Mus musculus: one gene and its partners. The main gene of each other region encodes a partner of the protein of the gene in region 3 in a complex. Links are inferred from orthologs where the notes say so. Each region holds a gene or a part of one and is shown on either strand. Other genes may lie near its edges.

The links.
Region 1: the proteins of Ints9 (region 3) and Brat1 are in contact, whole or in part, in a cryo-EM structure (PDB 8UIB), measured with the Homo sapiens proteins. The link is inferred for Mus musculus from reciprocal best matches to the Homo sapiens genes INTS9 and BRAT1. Residues at the interface, in NP_060720.2 of Homo sapiens: Gly276, Met277, Gly279, Glu280, Cys282, Ser283, Asn284, Ala286, Leu287, Arg290, Asn291, Tyr315, Asp317, Ser318, Ala319, Gly320, Ser483, His484; in NP_689956.2 of Homo sapiens: Ala406, Pro407, Cys416, Pro460, Gln506, Lys507, Arg508, Cys510, His511, Pro512, Arg517, Glu545, Leu549, Gln552, Asp556, Pro557.
Region 2: Ints9 (region 3) and Ints12 share a complex: the UniProt entries of both Homo sapiens proteins name them as parts of the integrator complex. The link is inferred for Mus musculus from reciprocal best matches to the Homo sapiens genes INTS9 and INTS12.

What each region holds. Positions count from the first base shown.
Region 1 is NC_000071.6:140,717,415-140,719,997, reverse strand, and holds the end of Brat1 (BRCA1-associated ATM activator 1), read right to left. Parts: intron 2,097-2,583; coding exon 1,401-2,096; 3' UTR 619-1,400; downstream 1-618. UniProt on the Homo sapiens protein: Component of a multiprotein complex required for the assembly of the RNA endonuclease module of the integrator complex.
Region 2 is NC_000069.6:133,090,636-133,094,709, forward strand, and holds the start of Ints12 (integrator complex subunit 12), read left to right. Parts: upstream 1-1,219; 5' UTR 1,220-1,341; exon of another isoform or gene 1,342-1,404; intron 1,405-4,074. UniProt on the Homo sapiens protein: Component of the integrator complex, a multiprotein complex that terminates RNA polymerase II (Pol II) transcription in the promoter-proximal region of genes.
Region 3 is NC_000080.6:64,948,734-64,953,124, reverse strand, and holds the start of Ints9 (integrator complex subunit 9), read right to left. Parts: upstream 2,833-4,391; 5' UTR 2,767-2,832; coding exon 2,758-2,766; exon of another isoform or gene 2,726-2,757; intron 1-2,725. UniProt on the Homo sapiens protein: Component of the integrator complex, a multiprotein complex that terminates RNA polymerase II (Pol II) transcription in the promoter-proximal region of genes.

The DNA of each region.
Region 1 (2,583 bases), on a different chromosome or scaffold from region 3:
GACTGCTCAAAGCCTAAGGGGCTATTATGTGGGAGCTGACAGTAGTGTTCAGAGAAATGCAGATAATAGAGGCCTGGCTTGTGAAGTTTTAGGAGGACACTAAGACTATCAGGACCATTCATGTGATATATTTAAAATCAGAATCTTTCTGGTCAGCTGGGGCTGAAGAATCAGTTGTGATTAACAGAGACCAGCACCACTGAGGTAAATCTTCTAGGAAGGAACTCTTCAGGGTCAACACACCCCTCTGTGGTCCAGAGGGGACCAAGGCTGCATCTCAAGCTGCCAGATAAACTTAGTTTAAAAAAAAATCTCATGTGGTACTGGTCAGTCACATAAAAGCTACAAGATTAAAGCTATCATGGAAAGGACTCAGGAGAGGCCACTGATGAAGGTGCAGTTTCAGTTGCGGTGGAGACCCCAGGACTGTGGGATAACCAGTGGTGTGCGCTGTGGATGGCGGAGCCGGGAAGTGGGGGAAGAAGCCCAAGCCCTCTGGAGCTCAGGAGCTTAGAGTGAGCTCTAAATGTCAGACACTGAGGTTTTTACACTGCTGGATGTTGGGTTTGCTTTGATTGTAACTGTGCTGTGGTTCTACCCTCAAAGAGAAGACAGAACTTTAAAAAAAATTTTTTTTTATTTTATTTTACAGGACCCACAGTTGTGACTTTGAACTTTTAATGTATCTGAATTCTTTAAAGATTATGGGACTTTCAAACGTTGGGTGACGGAGCAGAGAGCTGAAGGCCATATGCAGATCACAGTGGGGCTTTGTTAATCCACATACACAATTGAAGGTTATAGACATCAGTACTACCTGTTCTGAGCAGAAAACAAGCCACCTCTTTAATAACACGTGGAAAGTAGGATTCTGTGGGACCTGGGGAGATGGTTCAGTGGGTAAAGTGCTTGCCGTGCAAGCATGAGGACCTGAGTTCAAATCCCAGCACCCATGTATGTAGACCCAGGCACAGGGATACAGTATTATGATCCCGGTGCTGAGGAGGTGGTGGCGGGATCCCTGGAGCTCACTGGCAAGCCTCATCAGGGAGTACCAAGTCCTAGTGAGAGACCTTTTCTCAAAAACCAAGGTGGACAGCACCTGAGGAAGAACACTGGAGGCTGGCCTCCGGTCTGCATGCACAGCACACAAAGGGTGGAGATTTTGTTTTGATTTGATTTCTTGGGTTTTCTTGAGACAGGGTTGCTATCTAGTCCAGGCTGGCCGGGAACTCTACATTCTCCTCCCTTGGTCTTTTAAACGCTGTGATCATAGGTGTGTTATCGTACCCGGCTTAAAACATGTGATCCACCCCCTGCAGGGTCTCTTGAGCTGCTGACCTGGGCTGGGGTCCTCCTGCTGGCACAGGATGGAAACAGGGACAGGACGTGGACACGCCTTAGTAGCAGTCAGCTTCGTTCTCCTCCAACACACCCACCGTGGCCAGCATGTCCTGCAGCAGGGACTGTGGGCTCTTCTCCACATGGTCGCTGCTCTTGGCCAGCCTGCCCTGCAGGCCCTCCAGGTCTAAGGCCCTGAGGATGGCTAGCATGGCCTCAGGATCCAGGTCCCCTAGGGGCTGGGCCTGCTCTCCTTCCCGCCACCTCTGCAGGGCAGCCTCCACTGAGGCTGAGTTGGGGCTGTCCCCTGCCTCCCGAGGGCTACTGCAGGGAACTGTCTTGTCCCTCAAGAAGAGGAGCAGGTCACAGGCCTTTTGGGCCACCGGTCGGTCACAGTCAAGCAAGGCACAAAAGGCAAACTCAAAGAGCGGCAGACGGCAGAGAGTCTGCAAGAATTCCGGGTGTGGGCGGGGAGAGGAGGCCCTGGGCAGGCCCACTGTATAGGGACAGTGGAGGCTGGGCTGGCCCAGTGCCTGGGTGAGGAACACCCGTGCCAGCTCCAAACCCTGCACTCGGACCTCCCAGTCCAGATCCCGGCTCACTGCCTGGAGAACAGTGGCCACGAACCACTCCGTGTCTCGAACCACGTCAGCATGGCCATCCCTCAGCCAGTCCGTGAAGACCCGTAACACAGCCCTTCGAGGGAAGCCCTCTGAGTCAGTGGACAGGATATGCATAAGGTCCATGAGTAGGCCCTGCAGGTTGGAGAATTCCAAAAAAGTCGGCCCGACCCTGATAACTTGTCAAGGATCCAATGCAGCTATGAGACCGCCCTCTGAGTGACCGTGATAGAGCATCTAGGGAAGGCTAAGGCACAGAACGGCTGGGGTCTCACACTGAATAGAAAGGAGAACGTGAGCCAGGTGCCAGCGTCCATCTCTCTGCACCCTGACTACAGCTGCCTCAAGCTCCTACCACTACGGCTCACCCAACCAGGAGGATGGCACCCTCAAACTATGAGCCCTAACGAACTCACTTCCTTAACCTGCTTTCTTCAGGAATTCTGATTCAGCAGCAAGAAATCCAACTAATACAGTGACGAGCCAAGGACGGAACCCAGGAGACGTAAGTACTCAGCCATAGCACGGGCCATGTGCTGCTCTGGTCCCTCAACACGATGTGTTCTGAGTTCCTCCAGCCCTGCCCTTGCTTATCAGGGTGGGGTGTCAGAAAGAGCACAGG
Region 2 (4,074 bases), on a different chromosome or scaffold from region 3:
TAAAATGATTGAGTCACAATTTCAGCAGCGTCAATGGCAGTGTATGCTCCTCAAAGTGCAGTTTAACACTCATATAGCTTAAAGTTTGATCTACTAAATATGACAGCAAATCAGTTGTATTGTAACAGTTTATTCTCATGGCATTTCAAGACCATATTTACATGTTTAAAGTCACTTCCAGTTCTTGCTTTTTAAATTGTGGGACAGCACGAGGGAAACTTGACAAATGCCACCATCTTTAGCAATAATGTGGTACGAGATACACTCGTTTATTTTTTCTGACCTTAAGGAATTTATGACAAAGGATTTGGTGGTGAGTATGGCGGGGGATGGAGATGGGGTGGTGTAATTCCCCAGTCAAAGTTAGAGAGGTATGTATTAGGGTATTCTTTTTTTTTTTTTTTTCTTTTTTAATTTAAGCCAAAGCAGTTCTCGTGCAAACTCAAGCTTTCTGTTCGTGCTAATAATGGAAGGGCAACGCTGCTTTGGTGGGGATAGCAAATGTCCCCAAATGCAGCAGATCCTAACTGTAAAATAGTACGCATGTACAGCGTCCAATCAGGAAGGGCTGCGACGTAAAACTATGTCTTTGGGGAAAGTTAAGTCGTGCTCCAAGAGGTCTTTTTTCCTGCACTTAACTCAAAACGACCACACAACCCCCTACCAGGCAAAGCTGCCCTGTTGCTCTACCCACGCAGGGAAAAGACTAGAGGGATGGCTCGCAGCCGAGGGGCCCACGCGTCACTCAGCGGAACGGCGCGAAGCCCGTCCATCTGCACCCACAGCAAAAGCCTGCGGTGAATGTGGGGCTGGCAAGACTCTCAAGGGCTGCGAGCCGTCACCGGTCCCACCCTGGCCTCCAAGCCCAGCCCCGCCGACCCCTGAGGGCGAGCGCGGATCTCAGGAGGCGGCGGGGGGACGAGCGGCCCGAGCGCCCTCTTTACCTGGTCGCAGGGGCGCGGCCAGGCAGGGAGGGCGCGGGAGCATGCGGGCGACGACGCGGGCCACCGCGCCTTCCCGCCCAGCTCGAGCCGGGACTCCGAGGCTACTTCTGGAAGCCGCGGCCTGAGGAGGAGCACTCGCCTCCCAGCGAGGCCCTGAGCAGGGGAAAGGGGGCAAAAAGAAGGAAGAGACAACGTGTCTGCGCGTCCCCCGCCCAACGCCATTCATAATCCGGCGGACCGGAAGGAGTGCCCTACGTCACTTCCTGCTGTCTCACTCGGAAACGTTCCCCTTCCGACCTGTTGCGGGAACCTTTGTTTCTCTCTTCTTAAAGCTGGTGAGGGCGGGGACGGATTCGAAGAGAGCTACCGGGAACCGACCGAGTGGCGGGGCGGAGCGGTGAGTGGTGACGAGGGTCCCCGCTTCCTGGCGCCTCGGGGGGAGGCTCGAGACCCCGCGAGGGGCGGCCGGAGCGGAGCTCCGTGGGCTGTCGGTCTCCTCCCTGCTGGAGGGGAGACCTCATAATTTGCGGGGTGGTTGCGTGGCTCCGCCTGAGCGCTCCTCCTAGTCTGGAAGGACTGAGTGAGGAGGGCGCCGAGGACGGTGGCCCGGGGGACCGGGACCGTGGAATTGTCCAAGACCTTTGACCGAGGGTTCCGGAGACCTCTGTACAGCTCCCGTTTTACATCTCTGTTCTGGCCTCCTTGAGAAGGACTTACCCCTATTCGAGGCCGCCCCCAGTGTGTTTTGATTCCATCAAAGAATTGGCATTTCGAAGTGTCTCTTGACTCTCCTTAGCTTCTCTAGCGCTTGGGTTTGTTTTGGAATTGGGGTTTTTACATCCTGAGTTTCCAGACTTCCCCAAAGGCGAAGCACTAAATGGAAAGAAGAAGTTAATTGGAAAGGATTACAGAATCTTGCAGAAACACGAATGGGATGGTCTCGAGTGTTGTAATGAGTATTGCACTCTCTGCAGTTTCCTTTATCTCATGCACTAGCAGGTGATCAACTTAGAAGTTTGTTTGAAACTAGTAGGCAGGGTGAAAGAGATCTGAGAGAAAGCATCTATTTAGGTAGGGGTGCTCAATTTTGTTTGGGGACATCACAGCAGCCTTGAAAAGGACCATTTTGGCAAAAATCCAGTTGATTCAATAAATATTTTTTAAAAACACCTGTGAAATGCTACTTGCCAGGGAAATTCCTGCATTCCCCCTCACATTCCCCCTTCATAAACTTCTGCTCTCATAAAAGCTATACACTAGTGAGATTAATAATTAAAGACAAATGAAAGAGTAGAAAGTGAATGTTGCAGGTCAGAGCACTGTACACATCCCTACCCATAAAATAGACGATTGTCTTGCTTTTTTGTGTTTGAGTTATGTTGAGAGGAAAAGACAGTTGCATTTCATGAATGCCTTTTGCTGAAGTGACTAGAACTGTGTAGAGTAAAAGACAAGAATATTAGACTTCGGTGAGTTAGCTGAATATAATAGTCTGGTCATTGTTTTCAGAGTAACAGAGAAATAAGAGGAAGTGAGAGAAAAACCATACAGAGTCATCTGCCTTGAGATGGTATTTGACAACAAAATGCTCATGACTGCTGAAGAACAAATTGGTAGTGAGACTAAAGCAAGACAGAGCATTGGAACAATAGTGGCAAGAATGAGAAAGCCAGGGAAAGAGAGGTCCAATACCAACTTAAATGTAAAAATACAAAGTATCCCTCTTGTATTCACCTGATCTTAAAATAGGGGAGAGTAGCTAGAGCTAGAAGGGGACTTGGAAAAGGGAAGCTGGACTTAAAACTGACTTGGAGAAATAAAGAGTCAAGAGGCTGCAAGAGGTCCTGTTCAGTAGGAAAATGTAATTGTTCTTTCTGGAAAGATGGGAAGTGAGTTGACCAAACAAGCATGAGAATGCTAAGTGTGAAGCATGCTAGATAGGACTAATAACCTGGAAGAGAATATGGTATTTCTTTCAGTGGCACTTGTTTGGGTGTAGACGGGAGAAGATGCCAAATAGAAGCATGTCTACACAGTAGGTAAACCTTAGAGCAGTGGGATAAGGATGCTTAGAGAACTGGAAGAGAGTCACGGAACGGCTTGTTCTAGAGTGGAAGCCGAACAGGAAGGGAATAGCATACTGCCATAAACAGAGGTAAGCGATGCGGGGAGATTATTGTGTAGGCTGGCAGTTGCAGTGTGTCTTGCATAGCTACAGGTACTTCCTGGTGTGCCCCAACCATCCCTCCCACCAGCGCTAGCTATCACTGCCACATCCTAGGTTATTGATAGTTTTACAGTAATAAGTATTCATTTTCTTCCTTTCTTTGTTTTAAACAGTGCTTAGGTTTTTAAAATAAACTCACACTTAACATATTCTTTCATCTATCTTCCTGTTCTCTATTTACATGTACATTGTTTATGCCACCTACTGCTTCTCTTTGGTTTGAAAAAGAAATAGGAGCAAGAAAGAAGGGGGGGGAGGGAATTAACTAAAAAAAATATTGTCTTATAATACCCCAGATATCTTCTTGAGTTAAAACAGTGGAGAAGGAAAAAAAAAAAGGAAGATATAGTTTGCAAAGAAGGAGGCTGTTGATTGTAGTCATAGAGAATGGTGTAGCAGACTTCACATTTCACTAGCTGAAAATGAAGCTTTCTGTTAATGAACTAAATAAAATTATTTATAAAATGTTTTAGAAGATCATAATATATGCTTAATTAAAGGTAATGTCAGGGAGAGAGAAAGAAGGGCCTGGCCCTAATATTATGTAAATAAACCCCTGAGGTCAGAGGTTGATAAATGGAGTCATGGAATTTCTAAGCTGAGCAATACAGAAGAGGTTCTATCTGAGTACTGTTATAGCTTTTCTGATGGAACAAGTCAGAGGAACACTTCCGTGTTGGGAGCTGTAAAACATGATGTCATTAGTGAGAATAGTAAAGACAGATAGATAGTGCTTGAGGAAAAAGGAGGAACTATAGAGGAATGTGTTATTAATGACTGGGCTAATAAAGCTAGTTTGAGGAGGGTGAAGGGCTGAGCTCAGTAAAAACACTGGATGGATTTGCAGGATGAGCATCTGTGCTTTAAAGAAGCCATGATGTATTGGGAGAAAAGGGAAATTGG
Region 3 (4,391 bases):
AAAAAAAAAAAAACAAGCTGAGATTCCCCAGAAGAGATCAAGACTGAATGCCGGGAGGGCACTTAGAAGGTGTTCCAGTTTGCTTGCCATTGCTGTGGTAAAACACGATGACCAAGCTAAATGTGGTGGTGCATACCTTGAATCGCAGCATTTGGGAGGCAGAGGCAGAGAGGCAGAGAGGCAGAGAGAGAGGCAGAGAGGCAGAGAGGCAGAGAGGCAGAGAGGCAGAGGCAGAGGCAGAGGCAGGTGGATCGATGTGAGTTCGAGTCCAGCCTTGTATACAGAGTGAGTTCCAAGATGGCCGGAGCTACATAGTGAGACCCTGTCTCAAGACAAAACAAAACTAAAGGCGAACCGAAACCAACCAACCAACCAACTAAACAAACAAAACCATAAACAACACCCACTGTGACCAAAAGGAGGCAAAGTGTTTAACTAGTTTAGATCCCGATCACATCCATCACGTAGGGAAGTCAGGGCCTAGAGGCAGGAACTGAAACAGAGGCTATGGAGGAAGGCTATTTATTGCTTGCTCCCCACAGCTTGCTGAGCTTGCTTTCTTATCAGCTTCAGGAACATCTGCACAGAGATAGTACCACAAATAGTGGGTTGACACCATCCACATCAATCGTCAATCAAGGAAATGCAGACTAAAGGGAGGCATTTTCTCATTTGAAACCCCTCTTCCCAGATAACTCTAGCTTTGTGTGAAGCTGATAAACAAAAACAATAACAAAAACAAAACTTAAGGACAGAAGGTCTTACTGAATTCCAAATGCCCAGTGAAACAAACCATCACAGTATTAGTAAGTAAGTAAGCAGTATTAGTAAGAAGACAGAAAAACAGACCTATTCAAGAAATTCTCATTAAGGGAAAAGAATCAAGATGTGGCTATCCCTCATGTGCACCTGTGAAAGTCTTATTTGTTTTGTTTTGTTTTTCTGAGACAGGGTTTCTCTGTGCAGTCCTGGCTGTCCTGGAACTCACTCTGTAGACCAGGCTGGCCTCCAACTCAGAAATCTGCCTGCTTCCTCCTCCCAAGTGCTTGGATTAAAGGTGTGCATCACCACTGCCCAGCAAGGGAAAGTCTTACTCAAAAACAAGACTTTGTTCAAAAGCATGTTTGTGTTTCACAATGTAACTCATTACCATCATGCTGAAGACCAAACCCAATGTATTGTGTGCATCCTAGGCAACCATGCTGCCACTGACATAGATCCCTAGTCCCTATAATATACAAAACCCATAGCCAACCTCACATTTTTAAAGCAGTAAACAGAGCTAAAATGTAAGGACCTGAGAAAGTTTATTCAAACCCTTTGGTAGGCACAGCACACAAGTTTAACCTACTGAGAAACTATTTTGATATTCGGATAGTAATTATTGGATTAATTATTGGATCTACACTGTTTGAAAGGGAAGATAATAATTAGAATACTTCTTTTTCTTTTCTTTCTTTTTAATACTTCCTTTTCTTGATTTCTTTTTCTCTCTCTTTTCTTTATCTTTCTTTCTTTCTTTTTTTGAGACAGGATTTCTCAGTATAACTTCCCTGGCTATCCTAGAACTCAGAGGTCTGCCTGCCTCTGCCTCCTGAGTGCTGGAATTAAAGGTGTGCCACATCTGGTTTCTTTTCGCCAGCTTTTGATTCTGAAAGGGAATGGCTAATTTTCCATTTGCTCCTTCCCTGCTTTAACCTCTGTGTATACGTTAAGCAAGAAGATTTTATGAGTAAAGCAAAAAGTACCTAAGTTCTGATACCCTCCCAAAGAAGTTGTTCTGAGAGGCCAGCCTGGGCTACAAAGAGAATTCCAGGACAGCTAGGGCTACACAGAGAAGCTCTATCTCAAAAAAACAGAAGAAGAGAAAAAAAAAAAAAAGTTGTTCTGGAATAAACGTTTCTGCATCGCTTCTCTCTTAAACAGAACATACCAAACACACTTCACTCTATTGAGGATATTTCTCTCCACGTAGCAATTAGGAAGATTCTACAGTAAGTTGGCAGTGAGAATGTAGGGAATAGGAGGGCGACGACAAGCATTTCACACCTGCGTTCAATTTCCTTATTACTCTATTACTTATTCCATTAAGCTTGAATAAAACAACTTGTTAGAACGGTGTGCTCAGAAAAATGGGGCAAAGCAAATATCTGAAAAGGCCACCTGTCAGCTTAGTGTTTTGCCACACAGTTACTTCTTCAGGAGGCATGTTTTATCTAGAGCTGTTTATTTCAAGCAGGCTTTAGACGGGAATCCTTCAAGGGCACCACCCTTTAGCATCTCTTTCTTGTAATTCGAACTGCAGTTAGGAGTAACAGGACATTTAGACCTTCTGTCTGATCGCTCCTACTTTCTGTTCAGATCGGAATCCAGCCTCGCAATATCAGTAGGAGTCCACTCAAGTGCTCATTAAGTGGAAAGTGGTTGATGATCTATTATAGCTCTCAGGTGCAGGCTGAGAAACATGACCAAACCAAAGTTTTGGAGCCTATCTTTAGCCCAAGGGTGAAGAAATGTAACATACAACCTCACGTGCGGCCAAAGGGATCTGCCAAACAGTAATGAAGACCTCCTGACAGATGCAGGAGCTGTGGGATGTGAGCAAGCGGGAATTCAAATCCCAATCGCAAAACCCAGCTCACTTTATAATTTTTAAGTGCTGACCTCCCTCCGTGATAAATCATGGTGGAGGCGACAGACTCCAAAGATATATAGCATTCATTACCTTTGCCCTCTGACTTAGTAGTGGAAACTCACCAGTTTCATATCGGACTTTTGGTTGTTCAGTACCAGTCTCTTCACTTCTAAAGACAGGGAAGGATCTTCCGGTTTAATCTCTATAGCCCAGAGCATCGCGGGACTTGGAGTCTTCACTCCTTAAGCATTTTCCAGAGCCTCACGGGAAATGTAGTTTTACTGCAGGTATCATGGGCACTGTGGGCGTCTTTCCTTTTCCTCCCTTTTCTCTCTAATCACCTCCTTCCGTCCGCTCAAATTCATCGCCGCCGCCAATTCATCCTTCCTTTCCATCCCAGCATGATATCATGTCCCTCATCTGGGTCTAGCATCCATGGTATTCTGGGATGTGTAGTCCGCACGATTTCAGCTCCCAGCTCCCCTCCTCCCTGTGGGAAGGCGTATGGGCGCAGTGCCTGCTGGAAGCTGTAGTTCCCTAGGGCCTCAGACCCTCAACTCTGCACTTTTCCTCTAGGGAACCGGAAACTACAACTCCCAGGGATGCCCAGCGGCAGCAGGTGGGAGCGGGGCTGTTGCTATCAATATGGCGGTTGTCAGCCAGACAAAGACAGTCAGTCTGATGTGATTGAGACAAGGGAGGTTTTCAGGGGGAGACTGGGAGATAGGGGCCTCCCCTCCCCCCTAGGCTCTTCCTGCGCGGGCCTGGAGCCCTCCTCAGCCCCTCCCGCAGGGCGCCCCGCGGTGAAGATCCCCTCCCCCTCCCGCCTTCCTCCTCCCTCCCTCAGCCTTGCACTGGGACGCTGGGGAGGGGGCTGAGCAGGGTGCAGAGAACTCTCAGCTGGATTTCCAAGGTGAGTGGGGTCGTTTGCAAGCTGGACTGCCTCAAGTCTCTTTTCCTCACTTCTCTCATTACTTTAAGGAAAAAAAAATGTCGAGATGTTTGGGGGGGAGAGAAAGTGAGTAGGCGCCACAGATGGGTCTCTGGAGTAGCCAGGTTGAGCATAGGGGAGCAAGTAGGGGTACTTCCGAGGGGGCGGCCGTGCGCGGGCTGTGGGGTGGGGCAGTTTGTGAGGGGCGGGCGTGGAGAGGCGTCGATGGCTTCCCAACTTCTCTCTGGTCTTCAGGACCGGCGGAAGGTTTGAATCCTGGAGTTGGGGGGTCTTCCTGCTTGGGAGTTTGAGAAACTGTAAGGTGGTTTCGAGGTGTGCTGGTTTGTTTGGGGAGTGTCTCGCTGTGTTTTAAACTGTGACGTGTACTTGGGTGCTGCGATCGTCTTGAAGGAATGTCTGTAGATGGTAAGTTAGATGGCTGGAGTCAGAGATAAGCGGCCTGGGCTTGGGAAGCACGCAGGAGTCCCGGGCTGGACTTTTGGTCCAAGGATCTTGTGCAGGGTTTGGGGGGGCTCAGTAACTCGTTAGTGTCTGGGCGCCCAGCTCACACTCGGTGCCCTACTCTGGGCCAGTCTCCACCCCAAACTCCCGGCAGGACTATATAGATGATGTGATGTGGAGATGCATCTTTGCCTCAAGTCGGCAGCTAAAGGTGGGAAAGGAAAAGTGTCTCTTAGTATTTTATTCCGGAACCGTGTTTGGGTTACACTATTGGGGCTACTTTGAAAGGAGTCCTCCACCCACCTTCACCCCGAAACAGTAAGTAGAGGTATCTTGTCATCTTCATGCTCAGTAGCTTGCCAG